6 linked regions of the Solanum lycopersicum genome follow. The protein of the gene in region 6 interacts with the protein of the main gene of each other region in a pairwise test. Links are inferred from orthologs where the notes say so. Each region holds a gene or a part of one and is shown on either strand. Other genes may lie near its edges. The genes, in order: protein THYLAKOID FORMATION1, chloroplastic; regulator of G-protein signaling 1; G-protein coupled receptor 1; lanC-like protein GCL2; guanine nucleotide-binding protein subunit beta; GPA1.

Region 1 (4,150 bases), on a different chromosome or scaffold from region 6:
TTCTTGGTTGGTTCATTTTTAGCTAAAATATAGCCACCTCAAATTACAATCTACCTTTTTAACAAAGAATTCTAAGGCTTGAGCTTTTGTGGCAAGCTTCTTTTTTTTTTTTGTAACTATAAAAAGAAAAGAAAAAAAGCCACAAAAACTGTGGCACAGTTCAGTATAATAAAATCAGATAGTCTCTGTTTGAATGGAAATCAACACCTTAACCTCTAGTCACTAAAGATTAAGGTCCTTGGATTTTTTCTGCTCCCAGCATTATATTTCTGTGTTTGTTTCTTCAAGGCATAAGAGACATAATCTACTTCAATTCATAGGCCACATGGTTTTAGTCTTAAACAATTACCTCTTACAGTTGAACATCTTCTTCATTCCTAAGGCAAAGATTTGCATTTACACTAGATAAGTCTTCTTTAGTGAAATAGGAGACGCCTATTTCTATATCACTAACCTAACCTTTTGATGGAGTACATAGAGCAAACTCTAGAACAATATTAGAATTATCTTAACAAGATAAAGATTGACACTTTTGGCTACCGCGAGAAAGGCTCTCCCTGGTATTCTATCTAGTATATAAAGATGTACTTATGATTCAACTCTTTTCATCAATCTAATTTCTTATTCTAGCATTTTGGGTGAATCATGATTGAGAATTTTCCATACTATGTTCAGAACTTGAGAGTAGTTGCACTATATTTGGGTTTTGCTAAGCATGTACGAAGTTTGGTTATGAAACCTACTCTATAAGTTGAGATTGTTTTGAGAGGCATGGGTTACGTTAGTCAGGTCAGAACATACCAGGTGTCAGTCGTGGCTCTAAAATGGTCTCATGACACTCTACAAGTGGAAAATGTATAATTTGCTCGATCAATCTCATCCAATGTAATCTCTTGGTTAAAAAACTTATAATAGACATATCCACTTCAGAATGGGGTTACTTTATTCAGTTTAATCATGGGTTCCTCTTCGTAAGCCCAGGAAGATACTGTTAGATTAAGGATAACAGTGAGCTACCTCTTAGTAAATAAAAGTTGATCAAGGGGTTCTACAGCTAATTCTGAATAGCACTTCCATTCATTGAGAAATCATACACCTGCATTTCTCAAACTCCATAATACGGCTAAGCCTGTTCATCTTGGGTTTTGGTTCCATTCTCCAAGAAAATCTTAATGATAATTAAACTTATATTTTATCTAAAACTACCTTACTGGAAAGCTCAATGCAAGCATCCCGTCACTTATAAAAAATTATTTGTGTGCCTATAAACAAAAAAGGAGTAAAAAGCAACAAAAAGTGGCAAGAGATGGATTAAGCATGCCTGTATTGCTCAGGATCCTCCTTTAGCGCCTCTACATATGCTTTGAAGATAGCATTACGATCCTCTTCACTGGGGTAGCCCTCCATAAGTTGATCATACACAGTAACAAAACCTAGGGCGAACACAGGATCATATTGGTAGGATTTCTTGTACCTTGTCAAATGTTGTTGCACGATTAGCTCTTGTAACACTGTGTTGTAGACAGTTGGAATTGGTCGCTTGTAAGCGGTCAAAAACTTCATTTTAGTGTCAGCAACAGTTGGCAAATCTGGAAACAGTTCAATATAACACGCTGCATTATTACCTCATAACATAAACACTTGAAAAATCACTAAGATAGAACTGAATAAATAACGAGAAAGAAATTAGACGAAAAATGTGAATGCAGAAAACGCGGGCAGCTGCATGAATGTAGACAGAAATATTAAACAGGAGAAAACTTTACTTTATCTGTTAGTTCAATATCCATGTTTTCCCCCTTAACAAGTTAATTCAACTTTCATTAGCAATAAATAGTACTCCCTCCAATCCATTTTATACAATGTTATTAGTATGAACATGGAGTCTAATATGTTAATTTGACTAGTATATGTACTTGATAATTCTTTTTGAAGAAGTAAGGTCATTTAATTTACACTGCATTACAAAAGTAATATCATGAATGAATCATCCTGTAAGCTAATTAGGGAGCTAACAAATATTTAAGCAATGGTCAAGAACTTATATGATCAAAAAAATCTCACACCAAAGTTAATAACAGGAATAGGTTAATGCATTTAAATTCGTGAAAGTTCTAAAAGTTGTACAAAAATGGAACAGTGTAAAACATCTATATAAGGCAGAATGTAGAGAGTATATAACTGTAAAATATTCTCAATACTTCAAATAACATATAAGCAATTCCAACGAGAAAACATCCGCATACACTATATCTAGATCCAAATTCAACCTTTATGCATTTCATATAACAAATAGTAACTAGTTAAGCAATTGTAACATTACACATACAGAATCATGCAATTAGCTGAGAAATTAAACTAAAACAGAAATTAGATGAAAAAAAGTTACTGTATAGTTTAATTTTTCCTAATTCAAATTCGAAGCAATAAAGAGAACTTGCCTGCAGCTGAACTGGACGTGCAATGAACGACAAAGCGAGAGGTGGAATTGGAAGATCGAACATTGACGGAATCAAAGGAGAAGTTGGAACGGAACCTAAATGTATCAATAGAACGAGACGAAGAAACGGAGGATTTCCTTTCCGCCGATTGAGTAATCGCCGAGAAAGATACTGAAGTAACAGCCGCCATATTTCTACCGGTGAAGAAGAAGAGGAAGAAGAAGAAACTGTTGGTTGCTTTAGAGAATAGAGTTGTATTCCATTTCAATTTTTTCTGTGAAAAATGGAGAAAGGAGAAATGGAGTGTGAGGTTTGGATTTGAGGGCTTATCCGATGGCTTTTAGGATATTTCATTTTCATATTTAATGTTTATCAATAGACGAATAATATCACAACACGTGTACTGATTGAATCCGTTGTGTACTACTCCTTTTTGTGGTTACGAACGATTATTGTAACTTGTAAGCTAGATGCCAAGTGGTGGTGTAGTTTGGTATCTTAATAGACTTATCAATCAAATTCAAAGAATAGTAGCTATAAATTTGAACATGATAGTCAGGTCAGATAAATACGATAAAAAATTAAGTTTTTAATTATGATTAAATTAATTTTTCAATTAAAAATAATAAAGTTTTAGATTGAATGTGAGAAATATCGATTTAAATGGTGAGAAACCAATTCATAGTAAATCAGACATTACTAATTATTTAAACGAATTTACATTTATAATTTTAAAATAATTATCATCACAACAAAAAGTAATTTACTCCCATAATAGTTTCGCAATTTACTACTGAAAATTGATTTATGTCTAAGAAAAGAAATAGAAGTCCCAGAGAATCACCAAGTTAGTAACTGGAGATAGCCAGAAAGGTCATTTTGACATGCTGTTATATTGATACTTTTTTTTATTTCATATGGATGAGGATTCAAATTTTTAAAATGATACTTAATGGGAAAATTGTCTTCTAAAATTTAATCACACCTTAAATAAAAGAGAGAACAATGAATGTATGATGTATTAATTCTTTATTTAATTTGAAAAGCATTATATTTTGGGAAAATGCATTGCTTTAAGGAAAATATAAAAGGAACTTGTTTGAGTGGCTCTGAGTCCTTTTAGCAAACTCTGCTTGAAGCCTCACTTGTTTATTTTTCCATCTATTCATAGTATTTAAAACGTAAATATTCTATTCTTTTCAGATTTTACTAATGAAATATACTATATGGATATATGGATATAGAATTTTACATTAATGACAAAATACAAAATTAACTCATATTCAACTCTAACTATATACATTGAAATTATAATTTGGGGTTACGCGTTGAGCCCCTAAGCACACCCGTGCCAAAATGCTCATACAGCAGGCCCAGAATCAAAAACTTTCGTCACATTGCTGATTGATGCAACTGTGATCATACTCCATTTTTTCAGTCCATGGCCCATATGGGACTATATTTTCAGACCATGAGAATATAAAATTTTAATAATAATTGAACCATACAACTTTATTGTTAAGATTAATTTCCACAAGCATATATGCTATAATACCTTTTCCAAAACATTTGCCAAAATAATGCATGTAGGAAAATGCCAACATGATGTGAACTCGAGCAGCAAAGGGCCTATTAATTAATTCATAATTAAACTATATTATCCCAAAACCTAACTTCTTTATTTTATTTTTTATATATTCCAAACTATA
Region 2 (4,312 bases), on a different chromosome or scaffold from region 6:
CGAACATCGACTGATAAAAGAGAACGTTGTTGACTAATCTTAGGCTCCTTCCTAACATAGATTTCAAGTTTTGTTAACTTGATTTGATCTATATAGTCATTTAGAACCCTCAAAAAGTCGGTCAACGATTCATCATTATAGATAATTCACTCTCCAAAATTTACTTGTCCTTGTGATAAAAATGAAGTAGGGTATTTTCCGGCTATAATCAAATTATAATCGTACTGTTTTTACCTTTTTTTTTATCAATTTATGATATCAGACATTTATTGGATATTTAGCATTGTGTTTGGGAGGACAATTATAATAAACGGTATTTCTGTCATGTATAATTTCGCCATTCCAATAAATTGAAACTTAACTTAAGGTGTAGAAGACATTTTTTTAGATAGAAATGAACAAATATAGAAGACTTTATGTTGTAAGTGCTATCAACTATGTATAAACGTCCTTAAATAGATTTTTCAGAATTAAAAATAAAAATACATAATGAAATATTCTTTTCCATTTTAATGATATATCAAATCAATATAATTTATATGACAACACTGAAAAAACTTCTTCAAGACGTGAAAAATATTCTTCTTATAAAGTGTAATAAAAAGTTTCACTTTATAAAGTAGAATAAAAAGTTCCACTTTATAAAGTGAAAGAAAAAACTCCACTTTATAAAGTGGAAGAAAATGTTCCATTATATATTAAAAATAAACGTTATGAAACTAACGGAAAACGTTTAGATTATTGGATATAGTGAAACTTTTTGTTCCACTAAGTTTATTTTAGTTACTTACTAAAATAGTGACTTATTTTCGTTACTTTTATATTTTTGTAGCTTATTTTGGTTCCAACTCCAAATAAGAGCATCTACTACTACTAATAACATAAATATTGTTAGCAAGTCCTTGTTTTCTATTATTGCTGAAATAGTTTTTTTTTTAAAAATAATAAAGACAACGGAAAATTATACTATTTATACATAATTAAAATAATTTTTTTATGTATATATAGTAGATGTCGAACCCCCTTCGGCTAATCCATATGTCTAACTTTACGAATCGTAAACCTCCTTATTGAAAATCCTGGCTCCACCACTAGTCGAATCTCTTTCGATTACTTCATGTATCTATTTTTTCAGATTTTAAACTCCTTATTAAAAATCCTAACTCCACTGTATATGATGGTAATATATGTCTAATTACGTAATTTTTCCTATTTAAAAGTATTTACTAAATTTCCAAAATTTCTTGTTAATTTAAATTAAGAAAGCAAATCGAAACAAATAAATAATATGATTTTTTTAAATTTTTCATCCGATGTCCAGTATTCACATTGAAGTCCAACTAAATTCGAAATACATTGAAGGTAAAACACTATCTAATAAAGACAATTCCTTATTCAAAAATGCTCAAATCCGAGACCTTTTAATTAAAAATGAAGAAGTACTTATCACTCTATCACATGAGTGATTCGTTATATTAATATAATTGATTTACATATGGTTGTGTGTAAGGTCAAAAATAGTGGCTTAGGACAATTAAACGAATTCTTTAACATGCTAACATTTCCCATGTACTTTACTAAATAAATATGGTTGATTTCTGCTGACTAAACTGAAGTTAGTGTAAACACATGTCGGCCTCCTCCTTCTCATAGACATTTCTACAAACAGTTGATGGGCATAACAGAGGCAGCAACTAAACTGTAGGGAGAATAAAGATGGCAGCTTGTTCTAGCAAAGGAGGGTGCCCAAGTGACTATATAGCGCTTTCAGCTGCTCTACTGTCCATGATCTTGTAAGTTCTCTGAATTTTTTTTTTGCTGGTTGTGGAAATTGTGAAGTCAAATACTTGTGGTTTGTGTTTTTCTTGCTGTTTCTGATTGATAGGTATGCAATCTTGGACAAATTGAAAGACATTTTTTTTTCTTTGATATTGTAATGAATTTGGATTTTGTTCGGAACGATTTCTTCTCTTTGTCAATAAGGCTGATAAAAGATGGAAAAGATCAAACTTTGGAATATGAAGCAAGATTGGCCTCCTTTTTGATTAATCAGTTTGATGAAGGGGTGAAGAAAGTTGACATATAAGGATTTTTTGTGTTCACAAAATTTATTTACTTCTAATTAGGTCAATGAATTAGGGGTTGGAAGATTGTACGTCTCTAGAGCTTGCTTTGCGTTTATTTGCCTTGCTTTCACTTGTCTTCTTCCCACTTAAGTATGACAATGGGGCAAGAAGGGGAAGTATAACAAGGACGTGCATAGTGTCGGTGTTATGAAGTGAAGATCAGTGAAGCGAGGTGGGGATTCGATATCGGAACAAGGCGACAGCAGTAACTGTAGTAACTGAAATTTGGAAGAAGGAACTATCGTTAGAAAGGAACGGCTAGGATTTAATGAGAAGCGATGGTGAGGATGATGCCACGTAGATTGAAGGTGGTTATATAATAGTGGTTAGAGGAGAGAGAAGTATAACAAACTATTGGGAAAAGTCACGTTTCTTTCCTCTCTTCTTCTCACGTTCCCTTTCTTTCTGTTTCTCTGTTCTCTTCTATCTTCTTTCTCTGTACTTCCTTTTGTTCTCATCCTTCTTCTTCATTTTGCATTTACAGCTTTTCTATGGAGGTTACGAAGTTCTTAGTTGATAGTTCATTACGTGTAATTGAGACTTCCTATTATCAATAAAGTTGGTCTGGTTTCTGTGATTTTCAATTCAAATTGTAAATTGAATTTGTGGTCTTATTAAGGTCATAACAGTTGGTATCAGAGCCTTCGAACCTGTGTGATGGTTGAGGGTACACGTTGGAAAATTACAGAGGATAAGCTAACAAGACACGATGAAATGCTAGCTGATCTGCTGAATTCACAAGAGGAAGTACGTCATGCTCAAACTGGAATTCAAGGAACATTGGACTTAATTTTGGAGAGATTGGGAGTGTTGGAGAGAGCTCAAGTGGTTCCGAATGTGGGAGCAGGTTTACTACCTATTCCAAATGTGGATAATCGCAACAGAGCTCAGCCGAATGCAGTGACGTTACCTAGGTGGGAGTTACCTTATTTCGCAGGTTCCTAAGTGACGTTACCTAGGTGGGAGTTACCTTATTTCGCAGGTCAGGAACCGAAGGTGTGGATCCGAAAGTGTGATAGATTTTTTACACAGTACAGAGTGGGCAATGAACAGAGGGTAGAAATGGCTACGTTGTATTTGACCGATGCAGCCGAAGTGTGGTATCAGTCGATGGTGTTAAGTGGAGGAATACCGAATTGGATTGAGTTTAAAGAGGATTTGATAAGTAGGTTTGGGGAAATTGTAGTGAGTGATGTGGTGGAAGAATTTAATAAATTGCAACAGATCGGAACTGTGGAAGAGTTTTTAGGACGATTTGAGGATCTAAAAGCTCAAATGCTTATACGAAATCCGGCTTTGAATGAAGCTCACTTCCTATCTAGTTTCGTTGGAGCACTAAAAGAGGAGATCAAATTAGAGGTGAAAATGTTCAAACCGAGGACATTGAAAGAAGCTGCAGAGAAAGCGAGAATGAAGGAAATGGCAATTGAAGCTGGCCGAAGGAGAAACAGAGTAGCAAACCGAGTGTTGCCGGCAGCTGTACAAGGAGTAGGAAAAACATCTACTGCTATGGTTAATAGGAATGGACCTTATCGGCTTACTCCTGAGATTTACGAGTTTAGGAAGTCGAATCACTTGTGTTTCCTATGTGGAGAGAAATATGGTCCGGGACATACTTGTAAAGTAAGGCAGTTGAATTATTTGACTGGTTTCGTTGAGGGTGATAAAGAAGGCGATCAAGTTTCAGAATTGGATGAAAATGAAGACATCACCATTGAAGGAGTAGTTGAACAGGAGGTACAACAAGCTGTTTGTTTAAATACACTGACGGGCCATAATATGGGAGAAAATACAATTCTGGTGGGAGGAACTGTTAAGAAGAGACATTTGGCAATACTGATTGATTCGGGAAGCACTCATAGTTTCATCGACAAGCATACATTAGCTGCATCGGGTTATAAGCCTCAGCCTTGTTCGCCTGTATGAGTAACTGTGGCGGATGGCAATTATGTAATGTGTAATTCTCATTGTAGAGGGTTTTGTGGAAAATGCAGGAAAGAATTTTCATGGACGATTTGCTCATTATTTCTTTGGGAGGCTGTGCTTTGGTGTTGGGAAACGACTGGATGAAGAAACATAATCCAACTAAGTTCGATCATGAGAGGAAGTGTGTGACTATAGGAAGGAAGGCTAATAAGTTGGTGCTGCCAGGAATAGCAGGAGAAGGTAGTTTGAATATGCTATCT
Region 3 (2,844 bases), about 130 kb from region 6:
ATAAGTTACTTGTAAAACAAATACGTATGACATGTGGACACCATCAACACTTGGCAAATTATGATCCAGTTTCACCTTTCCAATTACCACTATAAATCGGTAGTACATTTTCAAATATAAATAAGAAAAAAGTTTGGCATACATCAATATACACTCTCTTTATTTGTTCTTATTTTAGTTTATTATTATTAGTTTATTAGCTATTTATTTTATAACCGTAAAATATTTATTTGTAAGTATTTTGCTTTAAGAATTGGGGAAGATGGAAAACTGTGAAATACAAAAATTTGGGGTATCAACCGTGAAGGAGTATTTATCTGTAGTTATTTTGCTTTGATAGGCATAGTTTCCCCTTAGGAGAAAGCCAAATCTTTCTTTATTCCTAAACAAACCAAAATTAACTCAAAGAAGGTGAGGACACATACACCAAAGCAATCGATACATAAAATGGAACTTCTTGTCAATATGCAATGATGAATTTAGTAATATAATACAATAAAATTTCAGTAAAAATCAAAATAAATATTATATTGTACAATACAATACAATTGCTAACCATCCAAACAAACTGGAAAGGAAAGTCTATGCAGAGTTAGAGAAGATAAGTAGCAAGAGCCAATAACTGTAGTAGATCGAATAGACATAACAAATAAATCAGTAAACAAATGTTCTCTGTTTCGATACATCAATAAACATACAGTATGCCTTGCCTATATCAGAAGACTTAGCATCAGCCCATATCAGATCATATGTAATCTATTGATCACACTAACATTCTTCGGTATCAATAACAAAGTAGGTGCATTAGTATGCTCGAGCAATCAAAAAGGAGCAACAAGCAATTAGCATATGGTGCATAGATGGATCAGTAAACGTATGTGAGCACAAAACCCGGGCTGAAGCAATGGAGAGCATCCCTGTCTGTCACAATGTAGTTATCAATTGTCAATCTGGTCCAATTATGAAAAGGGCGGCAGAATCATTGAGATGACTGTACAAGCATAAAATTGTTATTGCTGATCTTGAATCTTTAGAGAGACTAATTCACTGTCGTCTTGTTGTTGGCCTCTTGACCTTGAGCTCTTAGGAAGCCATCTTTGAGACCATTCAGGTAACCTGGAAAATGATACACATTAAAACATAAACTTAGGAGAAACAACACTAAGGTGATTGAGTAATAAGAAGTTAGAAACTACTGTGCATTTTCATCGCTTCAGAGAAATGTAATGAGGACATTCAGTAGGTATAATTTTTTTATTATTGTTCTTTAGAATATAGCTTCCTAGTGATGCACTTCTTTTTTTAGTTTGTCCCAAAAGTACTGGTACTTTTTTTAAGCATAGAAACAACTTACTATAAAATTTAAACTTCTCATTATATAATGACATGATTTATGGTTTACACAGATATCGATGACTTGTTTTAAACATGTTTCAAAAATGTTTTATTAAGAGCTACATAACTAATATATTTGTACATTTAGCTTTTAATTCACTGTACCTTAGTTAGCTGAGAGTCGGGATAAGTCACAGTTAGTTACAACTAACTGTCATCTCAGTTAGTTTTCAATATTAGTTAGATTAGTCGGTTACTAATTCTTTGTATACAATGTTCTTTGATTACAGCAATAGGTTTTGAGATTCCCATTCTATCGTACTCCCTCAGATTGCTCTCTTCTTCTTTCTCCATTTCAGATTGAGAATAGTAGAATCTCCACTGTAGTTCAGTTCGATCTATTCATTCTGTTTGTGAGTTTTACATTTTTCTTTCTTAAACTCTTACCAAGTTAAAGTGCATCACATAAATTGAGACAGATAGAGTAATGATCATGCAACAAGGACAACTTAACCAACTCTATTAAAATATTGAACAAAGGCTCTTTGACATTAGGAGAAAAGACAAGCAATTTTTAAGTTTTTAACGAAGATACAGTCTCTTGAAACCAAATGACTACTGATGAAACAAACAAGCATATTAGCATTGGCACTACCCAGGATAAAGGAAAGAAGGGAAAAAGATGGAACCAAACGTATGTTACATGTCCCCCCTCCCCCACCCCCCACCCCCTTTTCTAGGGCTATAGAACACTTACTGTTGCAAAAATTTTGTGTAAAAATGAACAGACTTACAGATCCAATCTCTCGTAAATTGCTCTACGGACTGAGCTGTTAAGGCCATATGCTATTGAGTTGAAGAGACCCTAAACAGAGCATAGAAGATTTGTCAAGGAAGAAAATATCTTTAGTGTCAGAGTTGTTAAAAGGAAAGTAGATCAAAACTAAGCATCAACATAAAGTCAGAGATAAGTTCCTATCAACTGAGAATCCCACCAATTCATGGATACAGACACTTAAACTAAACTAATCAACTTTTTTGTTGATTAAACAATGTAACCAATTCAGAATATCACCAACTAATTAAAGTAAACACTTGGCGGCATCGCTCTTGACATTCTGTGGATAAGCTTGATGGATCCAAGTCATTCTATCCAGAGAGGTTTTGATTGTTAACACTAGTTACCAACATGTCTATACCTGCTTGCAATCTATATGGTAACAACGGAATAAAATACTTATCAAAGAGTGGAAGTTCCCACCACGCACCTTACCCAAGCACATCAAAGAAAAGAGAAAAGAGAGAATTCATCTATAGATAATAGAATTTACCATGAGCTGTGCCATTCCAACATCAAGAACAGAAAGCCAAAAGATCTTATGACCTGGTTCAATAACGTCATGTATACGGTTGATTGTACCGAAAAACCATGATCCAATAAGAATGAGGGGATAGTAACCCCAACGATTCAGTGCCTGCGAGATGTCCAACAGCATAACAGTTAATATA
Region 4 (4,070 bases), on a different chromosome or scaffold from region 6:
TATAATTTAAATCCCATAGGCCATATTAGTCTACCGAACAAGTTTAGTACTTATCCATCTTAATAAATAAGTTTTTGAGGTGAAATTTTTGTAATTTACTTTTCTATACAACTTATTAGAGTATGATAAGATAGAATGTTTCACGTTACCTTTTAACAATACATCATATGATAATACATCTACCTTACATAAAAAAGATTAACATAGCTAATTCTACAACCCACAACATGTTCATTCTGTATGTACAAAACTAGAGTGATTGTGTTCATTTTCTGTATGTACAAAACTAGAGTTCATAAGCAGGGAACCTTGTTTCTATTGGATCTATCATGTCGAAAAAGAGATAAGCCATTCCTCCCATTCCTTCAAACAACGAGTATGGACGATCACCTCCATGCATAACTCCCTCTGATACAAGTATTTGAGCTCTAGCGTGCAGAAAGCACGCGAAGGCCTTTGCCTTGTACAAATACTCAACTTTACCTGTCAAACGATACAGTGAAAGAAAGACATAGGAATTTCCACTAACACCGTGACATATTCCAACTCGTTTGAGTAAGCCTCGATTCCAAATCACCTCAGCTGCTTCTATAGCTGCCTGCAGAAACTCGTCATTGCTGAAAACCTGAAAAGTTACGACAATGATGAGCAGAAAGCCCTTCCAGGATCACGCATTTCATCTCATGTCTACGCGGATTGAGGAGTTTTATATAGTAACTATTAGGAACTAACATCAAGATTACTGTGTCTGTGCAAGGTATTACTCCATAGTCCATACCTTAGCTGCTTTGATTAGAGTAAGGGCAACACCTGGAGCACCATGACACCAATGCACAAGTCGGTCAGATTCACTTCCTTCACTTGAGGGGTAATTTCCACTAGGAAAACGATTTCGGATCATGTAATGCAGTGTAGCCTTCACATCCTCGACCTCATCTGCTTTCAGTTCCATGTCCATAAGTACATGCATTATCCCAGCTAGTCCATGAGCAGCACCCCAGTATCTTTTTCCATGCCATTCATACATCAGTGGACATTTTCCTTTCCCCATTTTTCGTCCGGACTTTATAACCTCAGCAACAACTGCTCGCTGCATAAAAAAATTCCGAAGAAATAAAGAGCCATTCATAATGAGGAAGCATACGTGATTGAAATTTGTGAAGTTTCTTACAATTTGGGTTGGAGATATTGTTTCTCTACCAATATTTTTGTTTAAGAATGAACAAGCCCACAAGAAACCAGCCCTCCCATACAACAACTCATTTGGAAGATCTTTAGGAAGCTCAATCTGCATTTGTAGATAGATAATGAGAAGACTATTGACATCAACAGAAAAAGCTCGAAACAATGAAAAAAAAAACCTCTTTGAATTTCGTCAGATAGTGATCACACAATTGTTCATCCCCGCTCTGTTTGGCCACAACTGCACCAAGAGAATAAACACCAGCTTGTCCACATATGAAAGTCACACGCCTGCAGTTTCACAAATTAGAGTTCAACTTCTCGTTATGTAATTTGCCTAAAACATGTTTCTATGTGGGAGGAGATCATGAAACAGAAACTTCGATTGGATTGTCTGGTCGGATCATTTGACCACCGCCACCGCATCACTCAATCTACAAGGGATCCAACCAACTTTTACAGGTCTACTCCCATCTGATCGGAAACTAGTTTACTTCATGGTCTTCCCTATCCGATTTATATTAACAGATTACTTGATTATTGAGTGAACGGTTTAGTAAAACTCACAAAAAATATAGAACATTTAACTTGAAACTAGAACTAAGGTTACATAAAAACAGACTATGGCTTTCCCTAATACTCAACCCATGTAAAAGGACAGAACCTTCTAAACGTATCAATTTCCTCTTCATCTCTTCAACTTTTTTACCTTCTATTTCCTTATTCATAGGGTCTTTTTTATCCAGTCATCTTCACAGACATGTCTAATTAACCGAGCAACTCACCAATACAGTGATCAGTTCGTTACACCTTTCATGTGGATCGAACTTACACTTAGCACCGTTATAGTTTTTGGTCGCCATTGTTTATCATGAAGATTAAGATGACTTCTCATGCAGGATAATTAAAACCAGAAGATATGTTCATATACCAAAAAGTTATCATCTTTCTTCAGACAACACAAATCAAATTTTAGCTCAAATCATAGGAAAAAGGGTGAAATTTTGCAAAGGGAGTGTACCCAGAACCGCGGGAAGCAGAGTCACAAGCCTTGATAATATCAGAACAGAGAGCAAGATCATTCTTGTCAAGAGTAACTTGGTAAGCTTTAAATAACAAAAAAGCAGTTCCTAAAGCTCCAGTGTAAATTGTATAGTCACTCACTCTTCCCCTTTTACATACCCATGTCTCCTTCACAATCTGAAACATATCAAAATCAAAATTAGAAAAAAAAACAGGGAATTTACACAAACACCTAGCAGGCACTCTATACTCAAGAGAAGTGATTACCGTTTCTTTGAGATCAAAAGCAACCCTTTTGAGATTGTCGCAAACAGTACCATAAGGCAAATACAGAAGCTCTAACAATGGATCTTTTGCTCCTTCAAGAAATGATTCTTTAACTGTAGTTTCATCAACAAAACTAGGCATGGTGTTTGGAAAGAAACGATCTGCCATCTCTTTATTTCCGGTTCTGTTGAATCCTCCGCCGGAACAAATTTATGGAAAGAACAGAGCTCCGGTGGTTCTCAGAAGACAGAACAGAGCAAGTCTATCCGGGGTAGTGTAAGTTTTTTTCTTTATTCACGAATGTTTTAGTTTAGTGTATCAAGCTATTGATATCCATATAAATATAGATGATTTATTCGATTTTATTGATAATAGACTTTTTAAAATTATCAGATGTGGTCAATATATTAAAATAACAAATATTATCCTTAATAATTCGAATAATTATTTAGCAAACATGACTATAAAATTGTTTTTACTTAATTGGTAATTATTTCTTTTACAATTTAGGAGAAGTCTAAGATGCTCAATATTATTCGGGATCTAAAGCAAAATTTTAGTTTGAGACCACAGACATTAACTAATTCTCTGCCCTCTCTCAATCTCGCTGGCTATATATACAAATACATATATATAATATGTACAATTATCAAACAGATATATACCTAAACTTTTTTTTTGGTTAGAAATTGTACCTATGATCTAATGTTGTTTTCTGCTCTTCTGTAGCTGGAATGAGAAAGAGGCTGTAATGAACTTCAGAAGACAATAATGTATGATTTGTCTTTTTTGTATCATACAACAAAAAAGTTCTTTACAAAAGATCTAATCACAAAACATTCAAGTCATTTTTTGAAATGTTATATAACGATGTAGAAACAATATTTGTTTGGTCAGTCAATATTTTGTACTTATTGCTTTCTCCATAAACATTTCTGTAGGTTCAAGACATCCCCTTACTGCATCATGTCCAAGTTGGGCTCTTTCGTTGTCTCCAAATCCAAAGACTCGTCCACAATTTGTAACAACTACTGTGTGGTATAAGCCAGTGCTGATTTGAGATATGTGATGGGATCTCAAGCTCTCCAGGATACGAGGCTTCAAAACTTTATCTGATGCTCCTCTGTCAAGGAATCCGAGGCTACCAAAACCCATCCAGCCAAAGCCATAAACAGAACCATCGTCCACAAGGACAAACGTTTTCCTCTTGCTTGCACAAACCTACCAATAGAGGCAGGCAAAATTAAGCTAGGACGAGGAAGACTGTTATGTATTTTACAAGCCTTGAATTACTTTGTATCATATTACTTGCGTTATACACTAATTTGAGTTATTTCATGTTTCCAAATGTTAATACTGATCTTTGTAATATCGACTAGCAAAAGTAAAAGAATGCCAGACCTGAACTGCTAGATGGCTCTTAAGGCTGGTCAAGTGTGACGGAGTAGTCTTATCAGTCTCATCACCATGCCCCAATGCACCGCAATAACCTTTCCCCCAAGTATATACCTGAAATCACGAAAATCAATCATCAGTCGTGACAGCACTTTATTCTTTTCTGCAGTTAACCAACTCTTAGCATACATCTTAAATGAAAT
Region 5 (3,492 bases), on a different chromosome or scaffold from region 6:
GGATAGAAGAGCAAAGAAACATAGCTTCTTTTAGCCACATGTATCTACATTGTCTATTTGTCATGTGGCTCCACATATTTATATGCCATCAATGTACTTCTTCCCTCCCAAATTGTTCACAAAACCAATATTACTCGACAGTTTTACTAATTAAAAATTATGCCTTCTGCTCTCGATTGGATTAGGAAAAGTAACCTAATTTTTGCCTCTACGAGAATTAAATCATCAACTACAATGTCACACCTTAGAGTGCCAAAATGCACTTCGTTTTACCTGTAAAAGGAAAGAAGCAATTTTACCATTGTGCCATTACAAACAAGCTAACAATATTACCAGCACAGAGAATTCTCAAATATGATAGAAAGCCTGAACACAATGATCATTTTTACAAAAAGATGAAAAAAAAACACACTTGTTAATGGAAACAATGAAGCTGGAGGAGAATAAATACGAACATTGAGGAAAAGGAAAAAGTTTATGCCTGGGCTTTTCTGTCAAACTAAGAATTCCGATATTACAACAGTTCTTTGATGGTGGCAAAAGTAAAGCTTGTTTTCATTCCTCAAGATTTTTTTTAAAAAGAATTTTAATTACATAAGCAGCTGAAATCATCAGAGAATTTTTGACAACAAACAGGTTATTTTTTACAACTGGTGCTGGTCTAGTAATATATGTCAGATTCATGTGGAAACAATTTGGTTTATCTGACAGAAATATTAACTAGATTTAAAAAGATCTACAGGTTATGAAGATGCCAAAAGAAATCGCGAACCCACGGGCTGGCCATGAAAGAAAATGAGAATGAAGAGGGACTGGAGATAAATAACAGGATGAGGTGTTTCACAACTCAGATCACACTTCTGTGTCCTCCAAAAGCCCAAATCTGCCAAAGAAACAAAGAAATTAAGATCTTGTTTTAATGGTGGAATACATGGGAAACTGAACTGTGAAGAGTCGGATAAATCTATTGCAGAGAAAATAAAAGAGATAGAGATGGGTATCCTTGATTGTAAATAATTGATTGTAATTCTTTTCTTTTAAGTAATTATTTGATATTCAAGGCTGACCGCTATGCAGGCTAGTCCAAAACACAAAACTGAGGCCCCAAAATTTCAAGGTACTGGTTCCTGAATAGTTCTCACTGAGAAGTGGAATAGGGTTATTTATTTGTGGATTTGGCTCTTCTTCATTTCTTCATGTTCTCACTTGGATGGGGAACAGATGTCTCATTTTAAATTAATGGTTTAGATTATATGCTGAATTGAACTTCTATCAATGTGTTCGATAATGAGGATATGATAAGCTTAAACAAAGAAGTGGGGATTCATATAACAGGCTAGTAGTTGTAGTAAGCAAGACTTTAACCATGATTGAATAGTAGATATTCCATGTATTTTTGCTTCAAAAGAATTTGTCAATCTCAATGCATATCTCACCCATAAATATATTAAGACTTCTATCCTTGTTCTCAACTCTGGTTTTCTAAATTTCTAACCTCCAAACTCTAACCCTTATAGTGCCTATATATTTCATATATTGAAAAAAAAATTGTATCACCAATGAAGGGCCTTAAATTTGCTAAAAATTCAAATTTGTTTGATTAGTAATATTTAACATATCATGACCTTGTGTTTCCAACGAAGAAGTGAATACAAATTCAGTATTCAGAATATTACTAGCTATTGACCATGTATATATAAACGGAAACAAGAAAACCTCAAAGCAAATCCATTTTGTGAATATAAAATATAGTAAAAGCTTAAAACACAGGGTAGGAATTCAGTTGGTATGGAGTGGCAATAACAAAAGTAAATACATTCTGTGAAAATAACAATGTTAGGACATGAATTTAGCTAAAGAGAGGAAAGTTCAGATATCAGATATGGAAATATTTATTACTCTAACCATGATTAGGACCTTGTTTAATTAACCAATCTCAGTCATGGATTTAAAAATATGATATGTGTTTCTCATCCACGTAAGAACTTGGGGAAATGTAGGAGCTACCATCCATTATTTGTATAAGTTCTTTCCTCACACACATAAATTCTGTAATTAATGGTTCTAAACTTCTTAGATTTCTTCATCTCATTAGAATTTGGTTTGATGCTTAAAACCATAATGTAGTTTCTTGTTCATTAGGAAGAGAAAACCACTGTAAAGCTTACCTTCAGGTTTGTATCCCAACTTCCTGTACATAAGGCACTTCCGTCAGCTGACAGTCCCAGACAACTTATTCGCCCTTCATGTGAGTTTTGAACTGATCTTAAGTTTAGGACCACCTATTGATTCAAAGCATAACAGCAAGAAATCAAGCTGATGTCAGATAAGAACAAAGACATCATAAATATGTACAAACAATCAAAATGAAAAGGAAATCTGGAAAGGAAAATGGTAATAATAAATTTAAATGTTACCTACTAAAAAAGAAGAGATTGAGTATGCTTGGATCACGCATTGCCTCAAAATGTTTGCTAACTAGATAATGTTTAGAATGATAGAAGAACGTTTTGGAGAAATGAGTTAAAAAGCAAGATGTAACTTTGTTGTACCTTTGCTAATAGGGTGTCCCACACGTAACAATCACCATTAGAGTACCCGACAAAGAGAAGACGGCCTGAGATAGAAAATGCCATGGAAGTAACATGAGGGATGTCACCGTCACCATGCGGTTGGTTGTATACTTGCAGCTGGTGTCCAGTCCTAATATCAAATAATCTGCAGCTTCCATCATCTGAACCAGTTCCAAATCTATTACCATCAGGGAAGAACTTTACAGTATTGACATCACTCTCGTGTCCATGAAATGTTCGTTGAGCTCGACTAGCAACTCGGGTGTCCCACAGTCGAGCAGTTGTGTCACAGGACCCAGACACAAACAGTCTAGGGTTAGATGAACTAATTGAGACACTGGATAAATGGAAAAGAAATAAGATTGCTTCCCAATATACAAGCAGAAGATACGCTAAACATACTGCAAAATTTAAGGACAAAGAGAGCATAATTGCATAGCCCATACAACAGCTTACCTTAATACATCTGCAGTGTGCCCAGATTGAAACTCACCCCCAAACACAGAAGTTCTTAAGCCAGTAGTTATATCCCAAAGTACACATGTTTGATCACCAGAACTAGTTATTAGGTGAGTATCCTCATCCGGAACATACTGACACGAAGACACATACCCCTTATGCCCACTAAGCATTCTCGATACTGGATGGATCCCATCCTTATCGATTGGTGAATTTAAGTTGAAGATAGAGCAGGCACTGTCAAGGCCGCCACAAGCAACAGACTGTCCACTAGGAGAGAAGGCACAGGTCATAACCCAAGCACATGGAAGCTTAATTGCATGGGTTTTCTGGCTTGTCAGAGCATTCCACACTATTAATCTACCATCTTGGGATGCACTAACTATACGATTTTTTTCAGGAGTCCAGTCCAGTGAATAGACCTGCAAAATATTTTTAAAAAATTGGTAATACAACTTCA
Region 6 (4,229 bases):
TTATGATTATTAGAAATTAATTAGATTAATATTTCTATTCAGCTATTTATGTTTTTGCTTGAAATCAGATTTAATAAATATTATATAGATAATTTTATTCTGTATTTGATTAATAAATAGTAACACTAACCCTATGTAATATTATCTTGTCGATACTTATGATAATATTTTTAAATTATAATTTAATTTAAAAAATTATAAAAAGGTGTAAGTTTGAGAAAAGAGGGCTGACTTGGCAAAGGCCGTAGTCCACACATTTGTGAGTTGGACCGACCATTTTCTGGCCCTCACAAAAAATGAACTAGTACGAACATGTCAAATTGCAATGCTCGTATGGATTAGCCTGAATGGAATAATAAGCTAGTCCATATTGACAACTCTAATTAATGAGCCATGTGCAAATATGAAGTACTAGTAATCTACTTCTTTTGTTTTTTTTAGAATAAAAGAAGGGGTATCAAATGAGCGGATTTGGTTAAATTAGAAATATTAAAATGAGTTCAATAGAAATTGGGTTGGGTCTTGACCCGCACAAATTTATCCGATTAATCTCAATAATTTAACATATTGATATTTAATTTTTATAATCACAATTTGAATTTTCGCTTAAGAATTTTTTTTGTTAAAAAAGTAACAAATGGATAGATAAACCCTAAAAGATGTTAGATAAATAATAATTCATACATTCATATAGGAACATATCTTAATAAAAAATTTTAAAACGGGTTGAAATTAGAGATTGAATTGGGCTCAATTAAGAATTCTCTTCAAATAAGTTAAGCTTGAATGGGTTGAGAATCAACCCAATACAAATATCTTGAGTCCAAACCTTAAAATTCTGGACGGATTAGACGGGTTACCTATGTTTGAGTTCACTTTTAACACCCCTAAATAAAAGTGAACAAAAAGAAAAGAAAAGGATATTAAGAATCTTGACCATAAAAATAATTCATACTTTTTTTTATTCTTGAAAATTAATGTTTGATTATAAAAATTTCAAATTTAACTCGAAATTATATTTCAAATTTGGAAAATAATTATAACATGTTTTCAACTTAATTTTCGCTTTAAAGTTTTATTAAAGTACATTCAAATATGAACGCTATTACAAATATTCTTTTGAAAAAAGAAATCAATTCGAGCAAACCCTATTAATTAAGACATTATATGTAAATTATTCCTCTCTTCATTAAAGGTCTTGAATTTGAGGTCTGATTATAAAAAGTTCTTACTAAAAAGTACTATCATTTAAATAGGACTTTATATTACACAAATTTAAAATAATTGAACTTTAATACGAATACCCAAAAAAGAATGAAGATAAGGAAATGAAGCACTAATGTTAACACGTTGCGAAAAACAAAAGAAAAAAGATATAAAAAGTTAAAAATGTTATTTGTTTTTTGGTTAGTCAAAAGTTTGAACCTTGACTCACACTATGGTTAGGTAACACTATTTTCTGTGTCTGTCTTTCTTTTGTCTCTCTATAAAAACATTGTTTCTTTCAGCTTTCTCCCTTTATTTATCTCTCTTTTCATCAGATCAGTGTTTCATCTTCCAGATCCTCTGGTTAGTACAATCTTTAAGTTAATTTATTATCTTTATATATATAAAAATGTAATCTTGCTGGTTCTTTTTTTTTTTTTTTTAAATGGTTAATTTACAAATGTTTTAGGGCTTCTTGTGGTTCAGAATCTAAAAATGTTGATTGTAGTAAATAGATGATTGAATTAATTGTTAAAGTAGAGAAAAATTGGAAGTTGGTAGCTATTTTTAAGCTTTTACACATATATCTTTTATGTATAAATGTTAAGTTTTTGCTTTTTTAAATGTTTTTTTCTGGGGTTAGTTTTTAAAGGTTTTAAGGTTTGAAGTGTTTCAGAATTGAGAATGCTAGTGAGTAGGGTGTTGAATTGACTGTGTTAACTGTAGTTTTATTTATGTTTTCATTTTATTTATTTTGTTGTTGTTATTATTGGAGTGATGGGTAATTTGAGAAGAGGCTGTGTCATCTTGGATGAATTAAAGGGGGTTTTAGTTACTTCTTTGTTATTTTGGAAGTGATTAATTGTAATGTATGGTATAATTTTGAGGTTAACAGTGATAATCCAGCGAAGTTTATTTACGAGTATTGGAATGAGATATATTTGAATAGAGTGAAAGGGGTATAAATGACAGTCGAAATGAACACGTACCAGTTTAACAATGCGACAACATATCCAATATATATATTCCTGCAAGTGGGGTCTGTCAAGGGTAGGTGTACGCAAACCTTGCTCCTACTTTTGCTGGGTAAAGAAGTTGTTTTCGATAGATGCTTGGCTCAAGAAATCATTTTCAAAAAAGATTTGAAAGAAAATAGATGATTCGTGTAGCTGACCCAAATTATTTGCCATTTAGGCTTAGTTGATTAATAATGAGGATTCAACTGCCTTTTGTTTCTTCTCTTTGTGAGTTTCCTTGCAACAATGAAATCCTGAACATAGTTCCCAAGTGATCGTGTGACATTTCCATTGATACATTTGTGTATAATTGCCTTAGTTGACTCTGGGGTTGGAGAAGGGTATCTTGAACTTTTATTGGATTGAGATGCAAACATGGGACAAGGGAGACGTACTTCGATTATTCTGTAGATGCAATTGAACTGCAGTTGCAGTATAGTCTTTTGTGCATAAGTACCTTATTGGCTTATATTTTTTCTGTTAATTGTTTCTCTTTGAAAAGTAGGCATACATGGACATCATAAAGGAGCTGTAACAACAGATTTGAGATCCCTAGTTTAACTATCACACAGGCCTATGCTGTCGGTGGTTTTCGAAAACATGGGCTCGTTGTGCAGCAGAAACAAACACTACAGTCAAGCCGATGATGAGGAAAATACTCAGGTATGAGTTATACGAAATAGATTTGGAATTTGGTATAGTCCATAGTACTGTCTACAAGCTAGGAGAGCGAAAAAAATATCTTACATAACCCCCAGTGTCCTGACTAGATCATGTGTCTTCAGACTGCAGAGATAGAAAGACGGATTGAACAAGAAACAAAGGCAGAGAAGCATATTCAGAAACTTCTTCTACTTGGTAAATAAGGAAAAAAATATAGTCTTCAATTATCATATGATCTAGTAATTTCTTACTTTGTCTTTGCCTTTGCCTTTTCCTTTTATGGTCACCATACCCATGTAGTGATTTATGATGCCTACAAGCTATAGGCATATTCTATTTCTACATTCAGACTTGTTATATTTGAGGAGGCAATTGGTTATGAACTTTGCTTTTCCTCGAAGGTTCTGCTTCATAAGATGCTGGTGGAGGAAGCATAGTGAAAAAAAGATTCTTTGGAATATTGTTGTAGCATAGAGGAACTTCCACCTCTGGATTGACTTATTTGTCGAATTCTTTGTTCTTCCTTGTCTTATAGTATTCTTTTGCCATATTTTAAACTTACTGCTGTGTGTTTGCTGGTTAATGTCCTGTTTGACTGTGCTTGCTGAATGCTGATTTTTCTGTTGTTTCAAGGTGCCGGAGATTCGGGGAAGTCTACGATTTTTAAGCAGGCAAGAGATCTTATAAAATATCTATTAAGATTTCATTACTTTTAAAATGTATATGTTAATGTGTTGAAGTGCGTGACCATCTTATCTAAATGGTTAAGTTTCCACGCATCTTTATTACTTAATTATGTCTTCAACGTGTCGCCACATGTGCCGGATGGATCTAATCAATGTCCGTGAATGATAAATTATAGGTTGAATTGCCGAGCTTGATTCTTTTTGATGAGCCAATCACGTGAACTTTTTTTTTCTGATAATGGATAGTGGTGAGACTCGAATCCAGTGGCGGAGGCAGGGGGTTTAGAATATGAAGAAGTAAACATGTGAAAATTACAAGAAAATAAACGCAGCGAGCGGCGAAGGGCAGGACTTAGCTTAACCCACTAAATTTTAATATGTCTTGTCAATACCCCATTTAACATTTCTTCTTGCTTTTGCCTTTGCTCCGTCAAGCTCTTCTTAGATAAACTTCTTGGCTGTGTCAAATGGATTTATTATGGAATATATACACGCGTAAAAATTAAATTTTATCTGTATATACGGCAAAGGGGGTTCCACCCCTAGCTCTGTCCCTGCTCGAACCCAAGACTTTTGCCTGCTATGATAACGTGTTAAATGTATCATTTCATCTTAAAGTTTAAGTTGTTAGAGAGAAAATTTTTATTTACTTTATTAT

The links.
Region 1: the proteins of GPA1 (region 6) and protein THYLAKOID FORMATION1, chloroplastic interact in binary tests that used the Arabidopsis thaliana proteins (3 or more experiments, as listed by UniProt). The link is inferred for Solanum lycopersicum from reciprocal best matches to the Arabidopsis thaliana genes GP ALPHA 1 and PSB29.
Region 2: the proteins of GPA1 (region 6) and regulator of G-protein signaling 1 interact in binary tests that used the Arabidopsis thaliana proteins (3 or more experiments, as listed by UniProt). The link is inferred for Solanum lycopersicum from reciprocal best matches to the Arabidopsis thaliana genes GP ALPHA 1 and RGS1.
Region 3: the proteins of GPA1 (region 6) and G-protein coupled receptor 1 interact in binary tests that used the Arabidopsis thaliana proteins (3 or more experiments, as listed by UniProt). The link is inferred for Solanum lycopersicum from reciprocal best matches to the Arabidopsis thaliana genes GP ALPHA 1 and GCR1.
Region 4: the proteins of GPA1 (region 6) and lanC-like protein GCL2 interact in binary tests that used the Arabidopsis thaliana proteins (3 or more experiments, as listed by UniProt). The link is inferred for Solanum lycopersicum from reciprocal best matches to the Arabidopsis thaliana genes GP ALPHA 1 and GPCR.
Region 5: the proteins of GPA1 (region 6) and guanine nucleotide-binding protein subunit beta interact in binary tests that used the Arabidopsis thaliana proteins (3 or more experiments, as listed by UniProt). The link is inferred for Solanum lycopersicum from reciprocal best matches to the Arabidopsis thaliana genes GP ALPHA 1 and AGB1.

The regions. Positions count from the first base shown.
Region 1 is NC_090806.1:65,477,055-65,481,204, reverse strand, and holds the start of protein THYLAKOID FORMATION1, chloroplastic, read right to left. Parts: upstream 2,816-4,150; 5' UTR 2,632-2,815; coding exon 2,442-2,631; intron 1,590-2,441; coding exon 1,322-1,589; intron 1-1,321. UniProt on the Arabidopsis thaliana protein: Involved in a dynamic process of vesicle-mediated thylakoid membrane biogenesis. Required for the normal organization of vesicles into mature thylakoid stacks and ultimately for leaf development.
Region 2 is NC_090804.1:8,243,899-8,248,210, reverse strand, and holds the start of regulator of G-protein signaling 1, read left to right. Parts: upstream 1-1,503; 5' UTR 1,504-1,716; coding exon 1,717-1,793; intron 1,794-2,653; exon of another isoform or gene 2,654-2,783; coding exon of another isoform or gene 2,784-3,063; intron 3,064-3,108; coding exon of another isoform or gene 3,109-4,052; exon of another isoform or gene 4,053-4,061; intron 4,062-4,312. Other genes in the region: uncharacterized protein, read left to right, coding at 2,784-3,063, 3,109-4,052.
Region 3 is NC_090807.1:49,764,689-49,767,532, reverse strand, and holds the end of G-protein coupled receptor 1, read right to left. Parts: intron 2,811-2,844; coding exon 2,667-2,810; intron 2,201-2,666; coding exon 2,130-2,200; intron 1,117-2,129; coding exon 1,011-1,116; 3' UTR 502-1,010; downstream 1-501. UniProt on the Arabidopsis thaliana protein: Together with GPA1, may regulate the cell cycle via a signaling cascade that uses phosphatidylinositol-specific phospholipase C (PI-PLC) as an effector and inositol 1,4,5-trisphosphate(IP(3)) as a second messenger.
Region 4 is NC_090806.1:68,237,489-68,241,558, reverse strand, and holds lanC-like protein GCL2, read right to left. Parts: upstream 2,807-4,070; 5' UTR 2,641-2,806; coding exon 2,473-2,640; intron 2,383-2,472; coding exon 2,204-2,382; intron 1,474-2,203; coding exon 1,362-1,473; intron 1,289-1,361; coding exon 779-1,288; intron 626-778; coding exon 287-625; 3' UTR 86-286; downstream 1-85. Other genes in the region: ultraviolet-B receptor UVR8, read right to left, coding at 3,370-3,693, 3,874-3,981. UniProt on the Arabidopsis thaliana protein: May play a role in abscisic acid (ABA) signaling.
Region 5 is NC_090800.1:92,555,223-92,558,714, forward strand, and holds the end of guanine nucleotide-binding protein subunit beta, read right to left. Parts: intron 3,455-3,492; coding exon 3,030-3,454; intron 2,911-3,029; coding exon 2,553-2,910; intron 2,283-2,552; coding exon 2,169-2,282; intron 884-2,168; coding exon 848-883; 3' UTR 524-847; downstream 1-523. Other genes in the region: transcription termination factor MTEF1, chloroplastic, read right to left, coding at 1-40. UniProt on the Arabidopsis thaliana protein: Guanine nucleotide-binding proteins (G proteins) are involved as a modulator or transducer in various transmembrane signaling systems.
Region 6 is NC_090807.1:49,632,951-49,637,179, reverse strand, and holds the start of GPA1 (guanine nucleotide-binding protein alpha-1 subunit), read left to right. Parts: upstream 1-1,405; 5' UTR 1,406-1,569; intron 1,570-2,724; 5' UTR 2,725-2,798; coding exon 2,799-2,885; intron 2,886-3,007; coding exon 3,008-3,080; intron 3,081-3,518; coding exon 3,519-3,556; intron 3,557-4,229. UniProt on the Arabidopsis thaliana protein: Exhibits a fast rate of basal nucleotide exchange. Guanine nucleotide-binding proteins (G proteins) are involved as modulators or transducers in various transmembrane signaling systems.